3 linked regions of the Oryctolagus cuniculus genome follow. The protein of the gene in region 1 purifies or fractionates together with the protein of each later gene. This does not show direct contact. Links are inferred from orthologs where the notes say so. Each region holds a gene or a part of one and is shown in the gene's direction. Other genes may lie near its edges.

What was found. The genes of interacting proteins can lie anywhere in the genome.
Region 2: the proteins of PPP2CA (region 1) and INTS2 purify together in Homo sapiens (affinity purification with mass spectrometry; 4 studies listed by BioGRID and IntAct, with this or other methods). This does not show direct contact. The link is inferred for Oryctolagus cuniculus from reciprocal best matches to the Homo sapiens genes PPP2CA and INTS2.
Region 3: the proteins of PPP2CA (region 1) and INTS11 purify together in Homo sapiens (affinity purification with mass spectrometry; 4 studies listed by BioGRID and IntAct, with this or other methods). This does not show direct contact. The link is inferred for Oryctolagus cuniculus from reciprocal best matches to the Homo sapiens genes PPP2CA and INTS11.

What each region holds. Positions count from the first base shown.
Region 1 is NC_091437.1:22,518,625-22,524,350, reverse strand, and holds the start of PPP2CA (serine/threonine-protein phosphatase 2A catalytic subunit alpha isoform), read left to right. Parts: upstream 1-2,425; 5' UTR 2,426-2,559; coding exon 2,560-2,661; intron 2,662-5,726. UniProt on the Homo sapiens protein: Catalytic subunit of protein phosphatase 2A (PP2A), a serine/threonine phosphatase involved in the regulation of a wide variety of enzymes, signal transduction pathways, and cellular events.
Region 2 is NC_091448.1:35,532,438-35,538,302, forward strand, and holds the start of INTS2 (integrator complex subunit 2), read left to right. Parts: upstream 1-1,914; 5' UTR 1,915-2,026; coding exon 2,027-2,045; exon of another isoform or gene 2,046-2,315; intron 2,316-3,246; coding exon 3,247-3,553; intron 3,554-4,896; coding exon 4,897-5,035; intron 5,036-5,865. UniProt on the Homo sapiens protein: Component of the integrator complex, a multiprotein complex that terminates RNA polymerase II (Pol II) transcription in the promoter-proximal region of genes.
Region 3 is NC_091438.1:164,183,521-164,189,341, forward strand, and holds the start of INTS11 (integrator complex subunit 11), read left to right. Parts: upstream 1-1,870; 5' UTR 1,871-2,037; coding exon 2,038-2,065; intron 2,066-2,880; exon of another isoform or gene 2,881-3,045; intron 3,046-3,193; coding exon 3,194-3,291; intron 3,292-4,150; coding exon 4,151-4,224; intron 4,225-5,230; exon of another isoform or gene 5,231-5,821. Other genes in the region: CPTP (ceramide-1-phosphate transfer protein), read right to left, coding at 1-49, 129-298.

The sequences.
Region 1 (5,726 bases):
GGCCAAGAGAACTGCTGGCAGATACGATACACTGCATTCCTTCTCCATGTTTAATGTCAATTTTTATATCCTGGCTGAGAGTGCCTATTATGAAGCTCTTTGCTCAAGGTTATGCTTCCCTTACCCCGCCCTCGTCATCAGATGATTTTTATTTATAGCCATGTTTAAACATCATGGGCAGCACTCAGCCTCGCTGTTCACTGAATCTGCCATCTGAGCAAAGATTCTCTCTCCCAGCATATTTGTGTTATTCACTCTCTGGCTTTTGCCAAGAAATTAAAAGGACAGTTCTTTATTTGCTCTACAATTTTTGTTTCAAGTATTCCTCAGCTGCAGACTTGAGGCAGTCAGGCCAAGGTAGTCAAGACCAGATTCATCGAACTGAATCTTCAGAACTGGATTCCACAGGCGGAGAAGACATTGTGGATTTCTTCGGAAGGAAAACGTATTCTGACCAGTGTGGTCCCGTATTGCTCATGATGATGCGCACTCTCCTTGACCGAGTGCTAACAGGAGCTTCCAAGAATTCCTTCCTTAGGAAGTCATGGCATCTAATGATTTGGCAGGAGGACATATAATTATATCTTCCCTCCATTTTCTGATGGTGGTGAGCCAAGCAGTCTTATGTCAAGAGAAAATAAGTTACAGGGAGCGCACAGTACTTCGGACAAACGTATTCATTATAATCCTAGCACACAGTGGGCGTTGGGCACTTCTCCAGACTGACGTCACTATCTACTCTGCAGGTGGAGAACTCAGGCAGAGAAACGACTCTGACCGTGTTCCATACTGCAGGCCTGGAGGGTCGGCTGTATGAGTGTGGCTGGGACAGCGCACTGAAATCCTGACCACTTGGGCCAGTCCCTTCTCTGGTGTGAGGGTCTGCTTCTTGCCCAGCTGTCAGGTCCATGACAACGTGGTAAAGAGCAGGCAGGCACACCCGGCTCGGCTTCAGGACCCTGGACACCCAGTGCTGGGCTTTTCCCCACTCACTCCACACGGTCCCAACTCTTTCTCCTGTGTTGTTCGAGGACTTTCACTGCAAAACAGCCTCAGCATTTAGGCTAAAGGTCTTTTTACAGTCTGGGGAGGAGTCGAGGGGCTTTCTTCTGGGCACACTAGTGGGAGGCACTAGTGGGGAAGGCCGGGCCAGTGGGCCTCGCCCAGCAGGTTGTCTTGGACGAAGGCTCTTCAGTTCCGCCACCGGCTGCTGGCGATGCACTCCTGGGTAAGTCAGGGCGCTTGGGAGTGGCAGGGTTGAAGGCGACCAGAACCAGCTCTTGCCTTGTCCTTCACGGCTAACTGTCCTTGGTAAAGCTTTTCCTGGAGTCATCATAATCGCTATTCCCAACAATTTTCAGGCAGCACCATGGGCTCCGTCATGAAGTTAGGGCCCCGTACCTGTTCGGACGACCCCTTCATATCCCAGGCCCTGCGTGTGGCACACAGTTGGCCCTGCAAGGAGCCCAGTATTTCTGCAAATGTAGGGGAAACGGGATGCGAGGTTGCGCGAACCCCGGAGGCATTCAGGACCAGGGCAAGGCCGGTCGGATCGCAGGGTGTCTGCGCTTTCATTTCTAGGATCGTGGCCGGCACGCGGCCAGGGCTCTCGGACCAGGAGGAAGGTGCACGCACACCGGGAGCGCAAGGCGACGATGAGCGAGGTCGAGGGGGCCAAGGACCCGGGGCCCGCCGTCAGAGACGCCCAGGCCCGAGGACAGACGTGTGCTGGGAGTCAGGTGCCCTGCGCGGCTCCACGCGACAGGTGTACCTCCCCCGCCCACGACCGACCTAATTACACGGTGCCGGCCGCGCCCATTCCTGCTCCCACAGATGCGGGAGTCCCACGCAATTCCCGCGCTCCTGCACCCTGGAGAAGCCATGGGGTCGCGACTCTCGCCTCCGTGACCTGGCTGCCAAGCAGCACCCCAGAGGCCTTCCCAAGGAAACACGTTTCCGGCTGACGGGAGACCCCCACACCCCCGCGTCCCCGACTGCGCCTGCGCCGGGCCCGCGCTCGCGCCTCTCGGGGCGTAGTGCTCCGGGCCGAGCCCGTTCGCCGCTGCGGGCACTGCGCATGCTCGGACTCGGGTCTTCCCCCCCACCCCCAACCCCCAGGCCTCTCCTTTCTAAGAGACCACGCCCTAAACGCGAAGGCGCCTCGGTCTCCAGCCGGCTACATCGCGCCTGCGCTGTGGCCCCTCGTTTGCGCCCCCTCTCCGGCCGTGCGCCCGACCCGGGTCCGCCGTGTGGCTGCGCAGCTTGCGTCCGGGCTCTTTCTCCGTCGGCTGCCCGCCGCCTCCTGACGCCGCGTGACGTCACCACGCCGGGCAGCCGCCATTACAGAGGCGAGCTCCGGAGCTAGGGCGAGCGGAGGAGGCGCAGCGGCCGGCGGCCGAGCACTGCGGGGAGAGCCAGCGGCCAGCGCCGGCGCCGAGCGACCGCCAGCGGCCAAGGAAGTACCCCCCGGGAGCCGGCGGCGGCGTGTGCGTGTGGCCCGTGTGCGGGCGGCGGCGCGGGAGCAGCGCAGAGCGGCAGCCGGTTGGGGCGGGTGGCATCATGGACGAGAAGGTGTTCACCAAGGAGCTGGACCAGTGGATCGAGCAGCTGAACGAGTGCAAGCAGCTGTCCGAGTCCCAGGTCAAGAGCCTCTGCGAGAAGGTGAGCTGCGCCCGGCCTGCCGGGGCCGCCGAGGAGGCGGTGTCCGTGAGGAGGGTGCAACATGGCGGAGGCCGCCGGCCGGGCCGAGCCTCCCCGACCGGCGCCCGGCCTGGCCTGGCCGGCGGCGGCTCCCGGACGACCCGACGCCCCCTGCCTCCCGCGCACGGATTGGCTGTCGTCGCCGCCTAAAATGGCGCCGTTCACCCGACGCCGGGTCTTGGGAGCCTGCGGGCCCGGGCTCCAGGCGGGGTGGCAGGAGGAGCGGAGACCCCGTGGCCAGGCCCGGGGACGGCTTGGGGCCCCCGGGTCGGCGGGCTGGGGTGCGTGGCCCGGGAGTGGGAGTGGGCCTCTGTGGTGCGCTGAGGGGCGTCTCGGAGCCCGCGCTGCCCGCAGCAGCCCCCAGAAGCAGGCTTGAGGGCCTGAGGCCCCGGCGTGACCGCCACCCGGGGGAGGGATAGTGTCCACCCGGCCCAGGCTCTGCCCCCGGAGACCTCTTGGAGGAGTGTCTTTAAGCATTTTTTTAAAAAAAAGCCTGTAACCTAATTTCTGCGAAGGTCATGGTAGTTCTAAGGGGACAGAGTATAACTTCTTTCTCAGAGTTGGAAGAAATGGGGAATTCGGTGAGTCATACTACATAAGGAGCTTCTGGGTTGGAAATCCAGTCAGTGTAACCTATGATTTATATGCTGACTCAAGCCGGGCAGTGAGGAACCCTTCTCTTGAGCCTAACATACTTGGCGTTTTGCCATTTGTTTTTAAAAATGAGCAACGTAACCTGGAAACGCGGCGAATTTTGTGCTCTCTTCGTTGAAAAAGTTCCATGCTTGTCCGTTTTGGGCTGCAAATGGTAGTAATACTTGCTAGTGAGCACTTTATCCCAGACGTTGCGCTTCAGGTTGAAATATCGTAAAGCGTTGGGAGTGGAATATTGTCCACGAAATAACATTGAATTTTGTGTTTTCTGTTACCAAAATCTGTTTTGGTTTTCCCCAGGGATTGGGGAAACGGAGTATCCATTAGCTGTACGTAATTTTTAATTTTTGTTAAGTTTCCCACAGTACACAAAATACTGATCTCCTTACGAACATATTAAATTTACCCTTTGCACAATTAACAGCATTTCATTTTAGCACAGAATTGTGGAGTACTGCCAGCATTGTGTGTTAGTGAAAAGAGTTTTTGGAGAACTGTTAACGCTGACTTGTTTGTGGTTCCATGTGAACATTAGGTTCATGTAGTGGAGGTTTCCAGACAAATCATGCTGTAAACTATTGGAATTTAAGTTAGATTTATTTCTCCCCGAGCCTGAACAGAGCACTAATAGTGGGGCAAGCACATCATCTGCTGGAGCTGGATCCTACGGCTCCAGTGTGTTGAATCTCCAGTTTCTTGACTTGAAATTCTCTCAGATCATATGAGGCTAGTCTTTACTTTTTAAAGATTTAGAAATAGGACTTTGAAAATTACTTAATGTGTATTGCCAGGTCTTAATTTCTAGCTTAATATAAATGATGACTTGACTGACTGCAGATTCAGAACTTTACGGACTGCACTTTGAGTCAGTGATTGGATGACTAGTCATTTGTGAAGAAAACACTGAGAAGGGAGACGGGGATGTAGTTGGAAGACCAGCAGTTGGGAGTTGGTCCTCTTCCTGCTCCTAAGTGAGTGATTTTGGTTAACTTCGGGGCAGACACTCAGATAGTCCTTGATTTCCTGTCTATAGAAGAAGGAATTAAAATGTATTCTGGGAGCTTTGGAGATTATGCAGTTTCATCTGAAATTAGTTCTTTGTGTTTAAAATTTTAGCACTTATTGAATATCCAAGATTGCATATGTTTATGGGAGCATGAAAAGCAGCAAAAAATAGTGATGTAAGGTTGATAGTTCAGAAAGTTCATGAAAGATGCCTATTACGAAAAAACTGCATGGATGGCAAAACTTTTGCATCCAAATAAACTTATAATTCTTTTCTCTATAAACTTTTTTTAAATTTATTTTATTTGAAAGATTTACAGAGAAGGAGAGCTCTTCCATCCACTGGTTCACTCCCCAAATGGCTGCAACAGCTGGAGCTGAACCAGTCCGAAGCCAGGAGCCAGGAGCTTCAGGGTCCCCCATGTGAGTTCAGGATCCCAAGCACTTGAGCCATCTTCCATTGCTTTCCCAGGGCATAGCAGAGAGCTGCATCAGAAGTAGAGCAGCTGGGACTCAAACTGGTGCCCATATGATGCTGGTGCTGCAAGGCCGGGGCTTTAACCTGTTGTGCCACAGTGCTGACCCCATGAATTTTTTTGAAGTGTCCTTGTATTGTCAAGGAGCTTTGAGTTGAGTTGGAAAGAAAGGTATGAATGGGTAGGAGCAGCAGGAGATGGAGCCTGCAAGTAGTGGGGGTTTTTCAGACTATAGAAGGTAATAGAGGGTGCCAAGGTGAGAGGGCTGATGCTTCATGGACTCCGTGTTCATGGTTTTTCCATGTCTTTGTGGAACATAGTTGTGACGTTAATTGACTTAGATCTCCATTGTTGTGTCCATGATTTCAGGTTTGAGATTCAGAAAGATGGAAATATTTATAGCTAGGTATTATGTAAAGGTTTCCATAGAATAGATCATTTTTGGTGGATGTCACTTCCACCCCACTTTTTATTCACCCATTGAGAGGCAGAGAGAGCACTCATTTACTGGTTCACTCCAAATGCCCACAGGCGCCAGAGCTGGGCCAGGCCAAAGCCTAGAACTTAGCATTCAGTCAGGGTCTTCCATGTGGAATACCAGGACCCAAGTATTTGGGACATCACTGCTCTGTCGTAGGGTGTGTATTAGCAGGAAGCTGGATTGGAAGCAGAGGAGCTGAAACTTAAACCAGGTGGTATATGGGTGTCCCAGTTGGTATCTTAGCCACTGTGCCAAATGCTTGTGCCTATTTCACCTCTATATTAATCTAAACTAGATTAATTTGAAGATGACTTGGTATCTTCAGTACAAGTTGTCTTTTCACTACTAAATTTGTGTGGGTGATAAGGTTGTTTGGCCTAGTGTTTTTTGTTTGTTTGTTTGTTTGTTTG
Region 2 (5,865 bases), on another chromosome or scaffold:
CTAGGCGGAGGATTAGCCTAGTGAGCCGCGGCGCCGGCCGGCACTAATACTTAAGACATCAGTGGTTCATGTGCCACATAGAAAATGAACCCATTATAAGATGCCCCAATTTGGGGCATGTTAAAATGTGAAAAAGTTATCAGAGAATTAGTGAAAAATAATTTTTTGTGGCTAGAAATGGTAATGGGCTTCAATATCATATTGGCCTTAAAATGAGATTATTTTCTCAAACTTTTTCTCTGGCTGCATGCTTTTCAAACATTTTTAATCACAAAAGTAGTAATTATATTACAGTCCTTTGACAATCAAATGTGATATAAGGACAATTAATTTGTAGGATTATTTGCCACTTGAGAAGAGAATCTGCCTAATTTAAACATTAGGGCTGCACAGTCTTTCTAAAAATTGTGGCGGGCATTTGGCACAGAGGTTGCTGCTTGGGATGCTTGGTTCAAGTCCTGGCTCCTCTGCTCCTGATCTAGCTTTCTGTTTATGTGCACCCTGGGTGGCAACAGATGACATTCAAGTCGATGGGTCCCTGCCACCTACGAGGGAAACCTGGACTGAGTTCCTGGCTCCTGGCTTCAGCCTGAACCAGTCCCAGCTGTTGGTGGGCATTTGGGGAATGCACTAACAGATGATTTTCTCTTTCTGTCTCTCTGCCTTTAAAATAAAATGAAAATAAATAAAAGTTTTAAAAATTGATTTGATAGTAGTTAAGGGGGGTTGGTGGTGTGGCCTAATGGGTTAAGCTGTTGCTTGTGACTTCGGCAGCTGCTCTGAATGTTGTTTCAAGTCCTAGCAGCTCCATTTCTCAGCCAGCTCTCTGCTAATGCACCTGGGAAAGCAGTGGAAGATGGTCCAGGTTCTTGGGCTCCTGCACCCACATGGAGATCTGGATGAAGCTCTTGGCTCCTGGCTTTGACCTGGCCTGGCCCCAGCTGTCTTGGCCATTTGGGGTGTGAACCAGCGAATGGAAAATCTGTCTCTCCCTCTTTTTCTCTCTTTCAAATAAATTCCCCTTTTCTTTAAAAAAAAAAAAAAAAAAGTCATCATGAGAGGAAGCAGTACACTTGATAGCTTACAGACCAATGGTGCAGGGTCTATATAATTATTCTATATATAGTCTGAGTCTATATAACTATTATCAAAATTATTTCATTGACAAACGTTATTTTAATGATTTGTCAGGTGGAAACAAAGTCAGAAACACTGAAACGCACATTAGTGCTTTTTTTCCTCTGCTGATCTATTTTGAAAGCCAGACCTTATTTTAAAAGAGATTATTCATCTGTTAAAGCCTTGCAAACTGTAAAGTATTATTTAGCATTGATACTTGGTAAATAGAAGGTCCCAAACACATGTTGATTTAACTAGGTAGAAGAAACAGCATGTATTTTAGACCTTGAAGAGGTTTGGGCTCTCTTTCCAGAAGTACCAGATACTCATAATTTTGAACAGATTCCAGGGAATTCCTGAAACCACATCCTACGAATCTATGGACCCTAAGTTAAGGACGCTGAGAGGAAGAGGTCTGACTTCGGACGGCGCTGGTGGGACATCGAGAGACTTGAGATTAGATTTCTTTTTAAATTCTCCGCCACATCCTGGGATTCTGGAATTCTGGTGCTGAGAGGACCTACTAGGGGAAGATTTAAAGAAGCGTGCAGACTGGTTATGTAGTGTTCCGGTCAAACAATAGTGGGGACAACATTAACATCTCTTACACACGCGTTGTGTGTTCTGAATGCCTCGATAATCCTGTGATGAAGTTCCTGAAGCTCCGAGGGGGCTTAGTAGCTTGTCTAAAAGGACACAGCTCTGGAAAAACGATAGAATCCTTAGCCCAAACCGTCGGAGCCGAACCTGGGCAGGGAACAGCGCGGGCGGAGGAAGGGGCGGGGCCGCGCACGCGCACGCGCACGCGCACCGGCGCCCTGGCGCCGTCGGCTCTGGGTTTCCTCTTGCAGCTACTCTTCCTTTCAGTCCAGTACGGTGGCCGACGGGAGCCAGACGCTGGGGATGAATGAAGGAGCTGGGTGCAGGTTGAAAAAGTCTCCTCGGCTTTTCCCTTCCTCCAGTCTGGGTTCTGCCCTGGTGCGGTGTTCCCGTCCTGCCCCCGTCTTGCCCACCGCCCGGTCGGTCCCGGCGTCTGAGCGCTTGGTGCCCAGATCGAGTCGGGCACAGCTAGGGTGTGGGGATTCGGATTACCGCCTAGGCCCAACTTCGGACCGCGCTCTCGATTTCTGCCGCGGCCGCCTGTAGGACGCAGAATCCCAGTGGGGTCCCGTGAGGCTTGGAGGGTAGATCTTCAGGTATGAAGCGTCCGCTTCTCAGGCCTCAGCGCGTTCCCCGGTCTTTGTCGGCGACCGGCTAGACTTCTCTCAGCCCGAGGGACTGGCTTCTGGTTCTGTCCGGGGCAGGACCGGTCTTGGCGCCTCTGCCCCGGCAGCCCAGCCCTCTGTTCAAAGACCAGCTCCTCCTGCTTCAGAGCAAATCAGCGTGGCTGCCCACGCCTCGCACCCACGGTGCTGCCAGTCGGTCGGTCTTAGGGGATGGCTCTGGCTAACTGTTGCTTTTTTTTTTTTTTTTTGATGACTCCTGAGGACAGGCAGCTGCCCGAGTGGCGCTCGTCTTTCCCCGTGGCACAGCTCCTTGCACCTACACGTGTGCTTTTTATCCATAACGCAGGGGGTGTAGGGAAGAGTAGCCCTTAGAGCCGGGATGTGCCGTGGCTTGTAGCCAGCGAGGTGATTCTCCAGCGTTTGCACTGGGGGAGGACGGGGAGAGAAGCCGCAGCTCCTTACCCATGTCGGAGAGGCTGTGAAACCAGGCGGGTGGGGCAAGAGGAGCCGCCTTAGCTGTGGCCGCTCGCTTAGCTTTTGTGGCGCTGGGGGGACTAGTGCAGAGGTTTTAGAGAGGGCTCGAACAGGGATTTGGTCGATGACGGCTGAGCCTTGGATTTTGCCACTAACTAGTTGTAGTACTTTGGGCCTGTTCCTGTATCTCACCAGACTTCGTGTTCTGTGGAAAAGGCTAGAAGAGGCATTAAAATTCTCTATTTTCTTATTTCCCAGGTGGCAGTAGGAAGAGAGGCAGACAGAAAAAGCCTTGTCTTTATTGGTGTCCGGAACGTTGCCAGTTGAGGGGCCTGTGACAAGTGTACCACATTCCCAGGGTTTTTCAAAAGAAGGCGTTTACACCACGTGGACGTTCTACCCCAACTCTCTCTCTTTTTGTCACTAGGATCCACAGTGATGATGACTGAGTGTGCAAGCCTTCAGTTTGTCAGCCCTTTCGCTTTCGAGGCAATGCAGAAGGTGGATGTGGTGCGCCTGGCGTCTTTAAGTGATCCGGAACTAAGACTTCTCCTGCCCTGTTTGGTACGGATGGCGCTTTGTGCTCCTGCTGACCAGAGCCAGAGCTGGGCTCAAGATAAAAAGCTCATCCTCCGCCTTCTGTCCGGAGTGGAAGCCGTCAACTCCATCGTTGCGTTGCTCTCGGTGGACTTCCACGCTTTAGAGCAGGATGCCAGCAAGGAGCAGCAGCTTAGGTAACGTTCCGTTATGAACCGGGCAGATCAGGATGTACTTAGATTGGCTGAGGAATAGGGCATCGGTGGTTTCTCAGAGCTTGGAGAGCTCCTCCAGAAAACAGAATGAGAATGTAAACTTCAGAGACTATTCTACTTAGGTCTTTTCTATTTGTAGTTAAAATCCTAGGGTCTTTAAAAATATCGTGTAGAAGTTTGGCCTTATTCTGTTGTCCGGCTAAACTGATGTGGCCAGTTACTTTGTGGGAAGTGTTTAGGGTAACTCCCTCTAGATTACAGGGATGTATTACAGGATGTATTAGAATCATTTGGGCAGCTTTTTAAACTTTTTTTTAAAAAGATTTATTTATTTATTTGAAAGTCAGAGTTACACAGAAAGAAAGGGAGAGGCAGAGAGAGAGAGAGAGAGAGGTAGATCTTCCATCCACTGGTTCACTCCCCAAATGGCCATAATGGCCGGAGCTGTGCCAATCTGAAGCCAGGAGCCAGGAGCTTCCTCCGAGTCTTCCCATGTGGGTGCAGGGGCCTGAGGACTTGGGCTGTCTTCTACTGCTTTCCCAGGCCATAGCAGAGAGCTGGATCAGAAGCAGATGGGGGCCGGCGCCACGGCTCAATAGGCTAATCCTCCGCCTTGTGGCGCCGGCACACCAGGTTCTAGTCCCAGTCGGGGTGCCGGATTCTGTCCCGGTTGCTCCTCTTCCAGGCCAGCCCTCTGCTGTGGCCAGGGAGTGCAGTGGAGGATGGCCCAGGTACTTGGGCCCTGCACCCCATGGGAGACCAGGAGAAGCACCTGGCTCCTGCCATCGGATCAGCGCGGTGTGCCGGCCGCAGCGTGCTGGCCGCGGCGGCCATTGGAGGGTGAACCAACGGCAAAGGAAGACCTTTCTCTCTGTCTCTCTCTCTCACTGTCCACTCTGCCTGTCAAAAAACAAACAAACAAACAAACAAAAAAGAAGCGGCCTTATGGGATTCCAGCACTGCAGGCAGTGGCTTTATCCGCTGTGCCAAAGAGCCGGCTCCCAGCTTTTTAAACTTTTGCTGGTTCACAAAGGTTCTGGGTAGATGTTATGTCCTTCTCCCCCAAACTCCTCCATAATGAATCCAAGAGTAACCCACTAGTTTTAAGGGAAGTGATGTTTACTATCAGTTGTGATGGAGTCTTTATGTATGTAGGTTGTGAATCCCTGAGATGATAGGTAAGCTAAATAATAATCAGAAGTCATAGAAGGTATTTAAAATTTTTATGTTCTTTTGTTGGTTATTTTAATAAAAGATAATTTTTATGCATTACTTCCACACAAGTGTTCTCATACGTGTTGTTTTATGTGTTTGTGCTTCATTAGGCATAAACTTGGAGGAGGCAGTGGAGAGAGCATCCTGGTTTCCCAGCTTCAGCATGGACTGACATTAGAGTTTGAACACAGCGATTCACCTCGGCGATTGCGTCTCGTGCTTAGCGAACTGTTGGCAATCATGAACAAGGTGATTTATTTTGAGCACAACTCAAAGTATTTATGCTTTGATATCTACATATAGAAAGGTTGTGAAGAACAGGGCAACAAGGCAGGCAGGCTGTGTCCTTTCCTACTTGTATTTCTTTTTTAAAGATTTATTTATTTATTTGAAAGAGTTACACAGATTGAGGAGAGGCAGAGAGAGAGCGAGCGAGAGGTCTTTCATTTGCTGGTTCACTCTCCAGATGGCCGCAACGGCCAGAGCTGCGCCGATCTGAAGCCAGGAGCCAGGTCTCCCATGCAGGTGCAGGGGCCCAAGGACTTGGGCCATCTTCTACTGCTTTCACATGGCCATGGCAGAGAGCTGGATCAGAAGGGAGCAGCCGGGACTTGAACCGGTGCCCATCTGGGATGCTAACACTGCAGATGGTACCCTTATCCACCATGCTACAGTGCCAGCCCCTGAACTTATTTTTCATCAGTTTGAAATGAATGAGAGAGAGACAAAAAAAAAAAAGATAGAGAACATGCTCTGTCGTCTATCTGCTGGTTCACTGTTCATATGCCCACAACATTTGGGCCTGGGCCAGGAGCTGTGGACTTCATCTGGTCTTCCCTGTGGATAGAAGGGACTGAAGCACTTGAGCCATCATTTACTGCCTCTCAGGTACATTAGCAGAAGCTGGATCCCAAGCAGAGGCAGGACTTGGTCCCAGGCACTCTGCTCTAAGAAGTGGGTGTTCCAAGGCAGCTTAACCCCCTGCAACACAACATCTGCTCCTATATAGGGTCTTCTTGACTTTTATTTATTTTAAAGATTTTATTTTGCTTATTTGAAAGGCAGCGTTAGAGAGAGAG
Region 3 (5,821 bases), on another chromosome or scaffold:
GACGTCCTTGGAGATGAAGGAGAAGACGGCGCCCAGGCTGTTCAGGAACCTGCACGGGCGGCAGGCGCTGCAGTCCCCGCCCCAGGCTCCCGCAGCCGGCGGCTGCCCCGCCCGGGCCCCTGACGCACCTGACCAGCCCCTTCCAGCTGGCGATGTAGTGGTCCAGCAGCACCTCGTCCTTCTCGTTGAGACACTGCTTGAAACTGACCAGCACCACCTTCAGGTTGAAGTCGGCCCCCGCATCCTCCATCTTCCCGGTGAGCGCTGTGCCACAGGGGGGGTGGGACGGTGCCGCCATCCCCTCCACCCAGCTCCTTCCCCAGGGGCCACCGGCTCTGAGTGGCCCTGGCTGGCCCTACCGTGCCCCCTGCCCAGACGGTGCACCCACAGGGCGGGTCACCCACCAGGCCGGCCCTGAGCCCCGGTGGGCCGCTGCGCTGCACGGCCGTCTCTCTCACCCCGTTCTAGCTGTCTCCCCGTTAGGAGAGAGGTTTTCCGACCCGCTGCCAGGAGCCAGGGGGCTGCTGTTGGCGTGGGGACCCTGGATATTTGCAAGATCGCTCACAGGCCTCGCAATGCGGCCCACCTGGAAATCAGCCCGCGTCGCCTCGGCGCGGTAGAGGGTTTCGCCAGACAGGAAGCTCTGGGCAGACGCTAGCTCCTAGGGGCCTAAGCACCCCGGGACGCAGAGATGGAGTGGAGGGGCCGGGGGGGTGAGAAGCTTCCCCCTCTGCTCGCTTCTGCACCCCTGAAATCGGAGCAGGGGCAGTGGGGCGGCCTGGCTGCTGCCGGGTCAGGGTCAGTCTTCCCCACCCCCACGGCCGCGGGCCCCGAGGCAAGCTGTGCCCTGGATTCCACTGACACTCACCCGGTCACTCCACAGACATCCAGGTGCCCACGGGCTGTGTGGGTGCCGCCAAGCAGCCAACCAGCCCTGCTCCGGGTGCCCCACTGGCCGTGGCCTGGTGGGGGCTGGCACGGCAGGTGGCTCTGACAGGCCCGGGCCTGCTGCTGGTGCCAGGGGCCCCGCCCTGGCCTCTCCACCCCCGCGGTGCTCGGTCTGGACGGCTGCCTGTGCTGTGAGCCACGGCTAGGAGTGGACCCCTGGGTCCCTATGCAGCTGGGCAGGTGGCTCCCGGCCCTGTGACCGGACGTTGCACCCCTGGGGGCTCCACTGGTTGGGTTGTGTGCCCGGCACCGGGTGAGGCCGAGGGGAGCAGTCGGCCACACCTGGGCCTCCACGCTCTGGAAACGGCTTTCGAGGCCCCCAGGGACACTGCCCCGGCCACCAGATATCCGGAGGGCCCGGCCTTTCCCACCCAGAACCTGAGCCGGCGGCCAAGAAGGAGCCAGCTGCCTGCGGCTCTCGGGGCTGTTCTGCCTGGGCTGGGAACAGGAAGGGCAGTGGCTGTGCGGCAGAGTGCGGGCAGCCGGCCAGCGCCAGGAAGACGCTGCGGGCCGCCTCGCGCCCTCCCCATGGCCAGCAGAGCCAAGGACTCGCGGGGGCCCCCGGGCCTGGCTCCCTGTCCAAGTTAGCCTCGCAAATCTCACCTGGGAAGGGGGTCCGGATGGCACCGTGCTGGGTGGGGCCTGGGTCCGGGGAGCGCCTGCTTCGGCTAAGGGACCCAGGGGTGCGGGCCGAGGCCGGGGTGCTGGTGAGGAGGGGCTGACGTGAGCGGGGAGCGGGGTCCTCGGCCACCCCCGGCCGTTTGGTTGGTCCGCCGCCGCGGATCCCTGGCCTCAGTCGCCGCCGCCGCCGCAGGCCCCGCCCGGGGACCCGGAGCCCCGCCCCGCCGGCCCGATTGGCTGCCGCCCGCCCAATCAGGACGCGACTCACCGGGGGGGGCGAGTTTCCGGCGAGGGACCGGAAGCAGCAACAGAGCGGTTGCGCCTGCGCAGGTGCCACCGCGAGTTGGTGCGCTCCAGGCCCGGAGTTGCGGGAGCCGGGCGCGTGCGGCTGCCCCCCGCCCCTTCCCGGCGAGCCGAGTTCTCTGAGTCGGGGAGCGCAGCGGGAGCGAGGCGCGGGCGCCAGGAGCGATGCCAGAGATCAGAGTCACCCCCTTGGGTGAGTCGGGGCGCCCAGGGCCGGCGGGGCGGGGTCCCGCGCTGGAACTCCTGCGGCACGGCCGGGGGCTCCCGTCCCTCGCCCGCGGGGCGCACAGCTCGGCGGCAGAGCCCCTGCTGCCCAGGCCCTCGCTCCGCGTCCGGCTCCGGCGGCGCCGTCCTGACAGGGCCCGTGGCCTGCGGGCGGCCCTGCACCTCCCGCGCCTGCTCCCCGGCCCGGCCCCGCGCGGAGGGTCCGGGAGGCGCGTGGTCTCTGCGCCCGGGCTTGCGGGGCCCCGGGTGACCGCGCAGCGCTGACTTAGCCTTCCTCCTCAGCACGGAGCAGGGCCCAGGAGGGGCTGTGTGGGCCTCTGTGTTTCCGCGCGGGGGGCAGGGCTGCCGGGGCCCGAGAGCCGGCCTCGATTCCAGCAAAGACGCCCCCCGGGGTGCTCTGGTGCCCACACCCTTGAATTGGCCATGCTGGCGGCCTCCGTGAGCCTTGCACGGCTGCGTTCGGACCTCAGCAGGGTCCCCACCCTCGTCTGTTAGTAGGGGCGGGGGAAGGCTGGAAGGAAACCCAGGCACCCACTGGGGCTGGGGGCAGGCCGAGGTCAGGTCACGTGGCTGAGTGTGTGCTGGGGAGGGGGCACAGGGGTCAAGATGGAGACGGAGCTGCTGACCCCTGCTGCGTCTCCAGCTGTGCAGACCCCAGAGGTCGCGTGCCACCGGGAGCCACGCCTGCCAGGCCCTTGGAGGGGGTAGGGGAGGGTTCCCAGGCCCTTGGAGGGGGTAGGGGAGGGTTCCCAGTGGGGCTGAGCGATGGTGCTCCCCACACAGCTGCTCTGCCTGGGCCACGTCTTCTGTGTCTGAGGCCACGCGTGTCCCTCCGTGGCTGTCACTCAGCACCTAGGCGCTTGGGGACCAGTCCCAGGAAGGAGGGGCATCTAGCTCAGCCGGGGGCCAGCCACCGCCCGGGAGTGACCTGCAGCCGCCATGGGGCCTGTGGGTACAACCTTGAGAAGCAGGGCGTGGCGTGGCGAGGGAGGCCGGGGCTCCTCTGGGCTTGGGCACCTGGTGCTTCCTGGCGGCCCTGGGGGGTGCGGGTGGGCACAGGCATAGCCCAGCCTTTCACACGCCCTCCCCTGAGCAGGAGCCGGCCAGGATGTGGGCCGCAGCTGCATCCTGGTGTCCATCGGGGGCAAGAACGTCATGCTGGACTGCGGCATGCACATGGGCTTCAACGACGACGTGAGTGCCTGGGCGGGGGCGGGGAGGGGGCGGGGAGGGGGGCGGGGCCAGGGAGCTCCTGCAGCCAGGGGCAGGGCTGGGGGTAGGGAGTTCCTGCAGCCAGGGGCAGGGCGGGGCCGGGGAGCTCCTGCAGCCAGGGGCAGGGGTGGGGGGCCAGGGAGCTCCGCAGCCAGGGGCAGGGCGGGGGGGGGGGGGGCTGGGGAGCTCCTGCAGCCAGGGGCAGGGTGGGGGGCCAGGGAGCTCCTGCAGCCAGGGGCAGGGGTGGGGGGCCAGGGAGCTCCTGCAGCCAGGGGCAGGGCGGGGGCCGGGGAGCTCCTGCAGCCAGGGGCAGGGGTGGGGCCAGGGAGCTCTGCAGCCAGGGGCAGGGCGGGGGGCCCGGGAGCTCCTGCAGCCAGGGGCAGGGGTGGGGGCTGGGGAGTTCCTGCAGCCAGGGGCAGGGCGGGGGCTGGGGAGTTCCTGCAGCCAGGGGCAGGGCGGGGGGCGGGGCCGGGGAGCTCTGCAGCCAGGGGCAGGCATGGAGGGTGAGTGGCATGTGTACCCAGATGGTGTCCTGTGCAGGCTCTGGGCAGAGGGCGGGGCTGTCACTTCCTGGGTGCTCCCCAGCATTTTACAGGTGGAGCCAGGCTGAGGCGAGCGCCCCTGGGGTGGGGGTCGGTCTGGCCGCTGGGTCCCATGGCCGCTGTGTCCTCCTGCGGTTGGCTCAGCGTCCTGCCGTGCGGCCGGGGAGGACGGCAGGTGCCTCGCCAGCAGCCTGCTCCTCGGGAGGCCGTGAGTGGCCAGCAGTGCTGGGCCCTCCAGCCTGGCTTGAGTGCTCACCTGGACCCCTCCCGGGGGCCACCCTCTCCCGGCTTCTCCACAGCGGCGCTTCCCCGACTTCTCCTACATCACTCAGAACGGCCGGCTGACCGACTTCCTGGACTGTGTCATCATCAGGTGGGTGCCCGGAGGGGCCGCCTCGGGGTGCGCAGCCCTCAGAGCAGCGCTGGTCAGTGCCACGCCATGGAGGATGAGGTGCACTCGCCCCACCCGGGCGGAGAGAGAGGAGAGAGGAGTTCTTCCATCCACATCCGCTCGTTCACTCCCTGAATGGCCGCCCCAGCCAGGTGTGGTCCGGCTGAGGCTGGGAGTTCCGTCTGCCCTCTGGTGAGGCGCAGGGCCCCCGGCGCGGTAGCAGGGGCTCCGTCTGCCCTCTGGTGAGGTGCAGGGCCCCCGGCGCGGTAGCAGGGGCCCCGTCTGCCCTCTGGTGAGGTGCAGGGCCCCCGGCGCGGTAGCAGGGGCTCCGTCTGCCCTCTCTGAGGTGCAGGGCCCCCGGCGCGGTAGCAGGGAGTTGCATGGGAACCACAGCGTCCAGGACTCTGATATGGACCCAGCGCTGCAAGGAGTGGCCCAGCGCCTGTGCCTGGCCCCAGTTCCCCCATGAAGACTTTGACAATGGTGACTGCCCTTCTGCTGGCCCTCGATCCTCCCCGGTCACAGTGGCCCGGCCCCTGACCTCTCACCCCAAGGCGTCGCAGCATCTCAGTGCCCACTGGACAGGAGGAGGAGCCGAGTGCCCCCTCCTCTCCCCTCTGACCACCATCCTCACTTGTACTGGGCAGTGCCACCCAGTGGCCAAGCGCTGTGCCTCTGGCCCCTGCCTCCCACGAGCAGGTCTGTTAGGCCTGCAGCAGCTGTCTCAGGAAGCCGTGTCCTGAGCACCTGTGTCGCATGCTCCTTCCGGACATGGGCCATGGCCTTCCCTGGGCTGGGCACTGGGGCTGCCTCCACCCGGTCTCCCTGAGCACCGTCAGGGGCTGGGCACTGGGGCTGCCTCCACCCGGTCTCCCTGAGCACCGTCAGGGGCTGGGCACTGGGGCTGCCTCCACCCGGTCTCCCTGAGCACCGTCAGGGGCTGGGCACTGGGGCTCCCTCCACCCGGTCTCCCTGAGCACCGTCAGGGGCTGGGCACTGGGGCTCCCTCCACCCGGTCTCCCTGAGCACCGTCAGGCAGTGCTTCCCCTTGGCTAGTTCACGCTGCTGCTGCTTCTTGTTTTTGTTTTTGTTTTTGTTTTTGTTTTTTTCTTTTTTTAAAGCTTTATTTATTTATTTATTTGAAAGCATTGCAGAGAAAGAGAGAGGCAGAGACAGAGAGATCTTCTGTTCGCTGGTTCAGTCCCCAGATGGCCACAGCGGCTGGGGTTGGGCCAGTCAGGAGCCAGGAGCTTCTTCCAGGTCTCCCACGTGGGTGAAGGGGTCCAAGCACTTGGTCTGTCCGCTGCTGCTTTCCCGGGTGCATTAGCAGGGAGCTGGATGGGAAGTGGAGCAGCCGGCACTGACTGGCGCCCATGTGGGAGGCCGGCGCTGCAGGCGTGGCTTTACCTGCTGCCTGGTGCGGGTTGGACGTTTGTGCGGTCAGTTTTAGAGGTGGGCCCCGCGTGTGTCACTCCTTCATCACTCTTGAGTACGCAGAGTAGTGTCTGAGAAGGGGTGGAGCGACTCTTAGCCCAGAGCTGCGGGGGAGGCTGGAGGGTGGCCTGGGGCTGGCCATGCT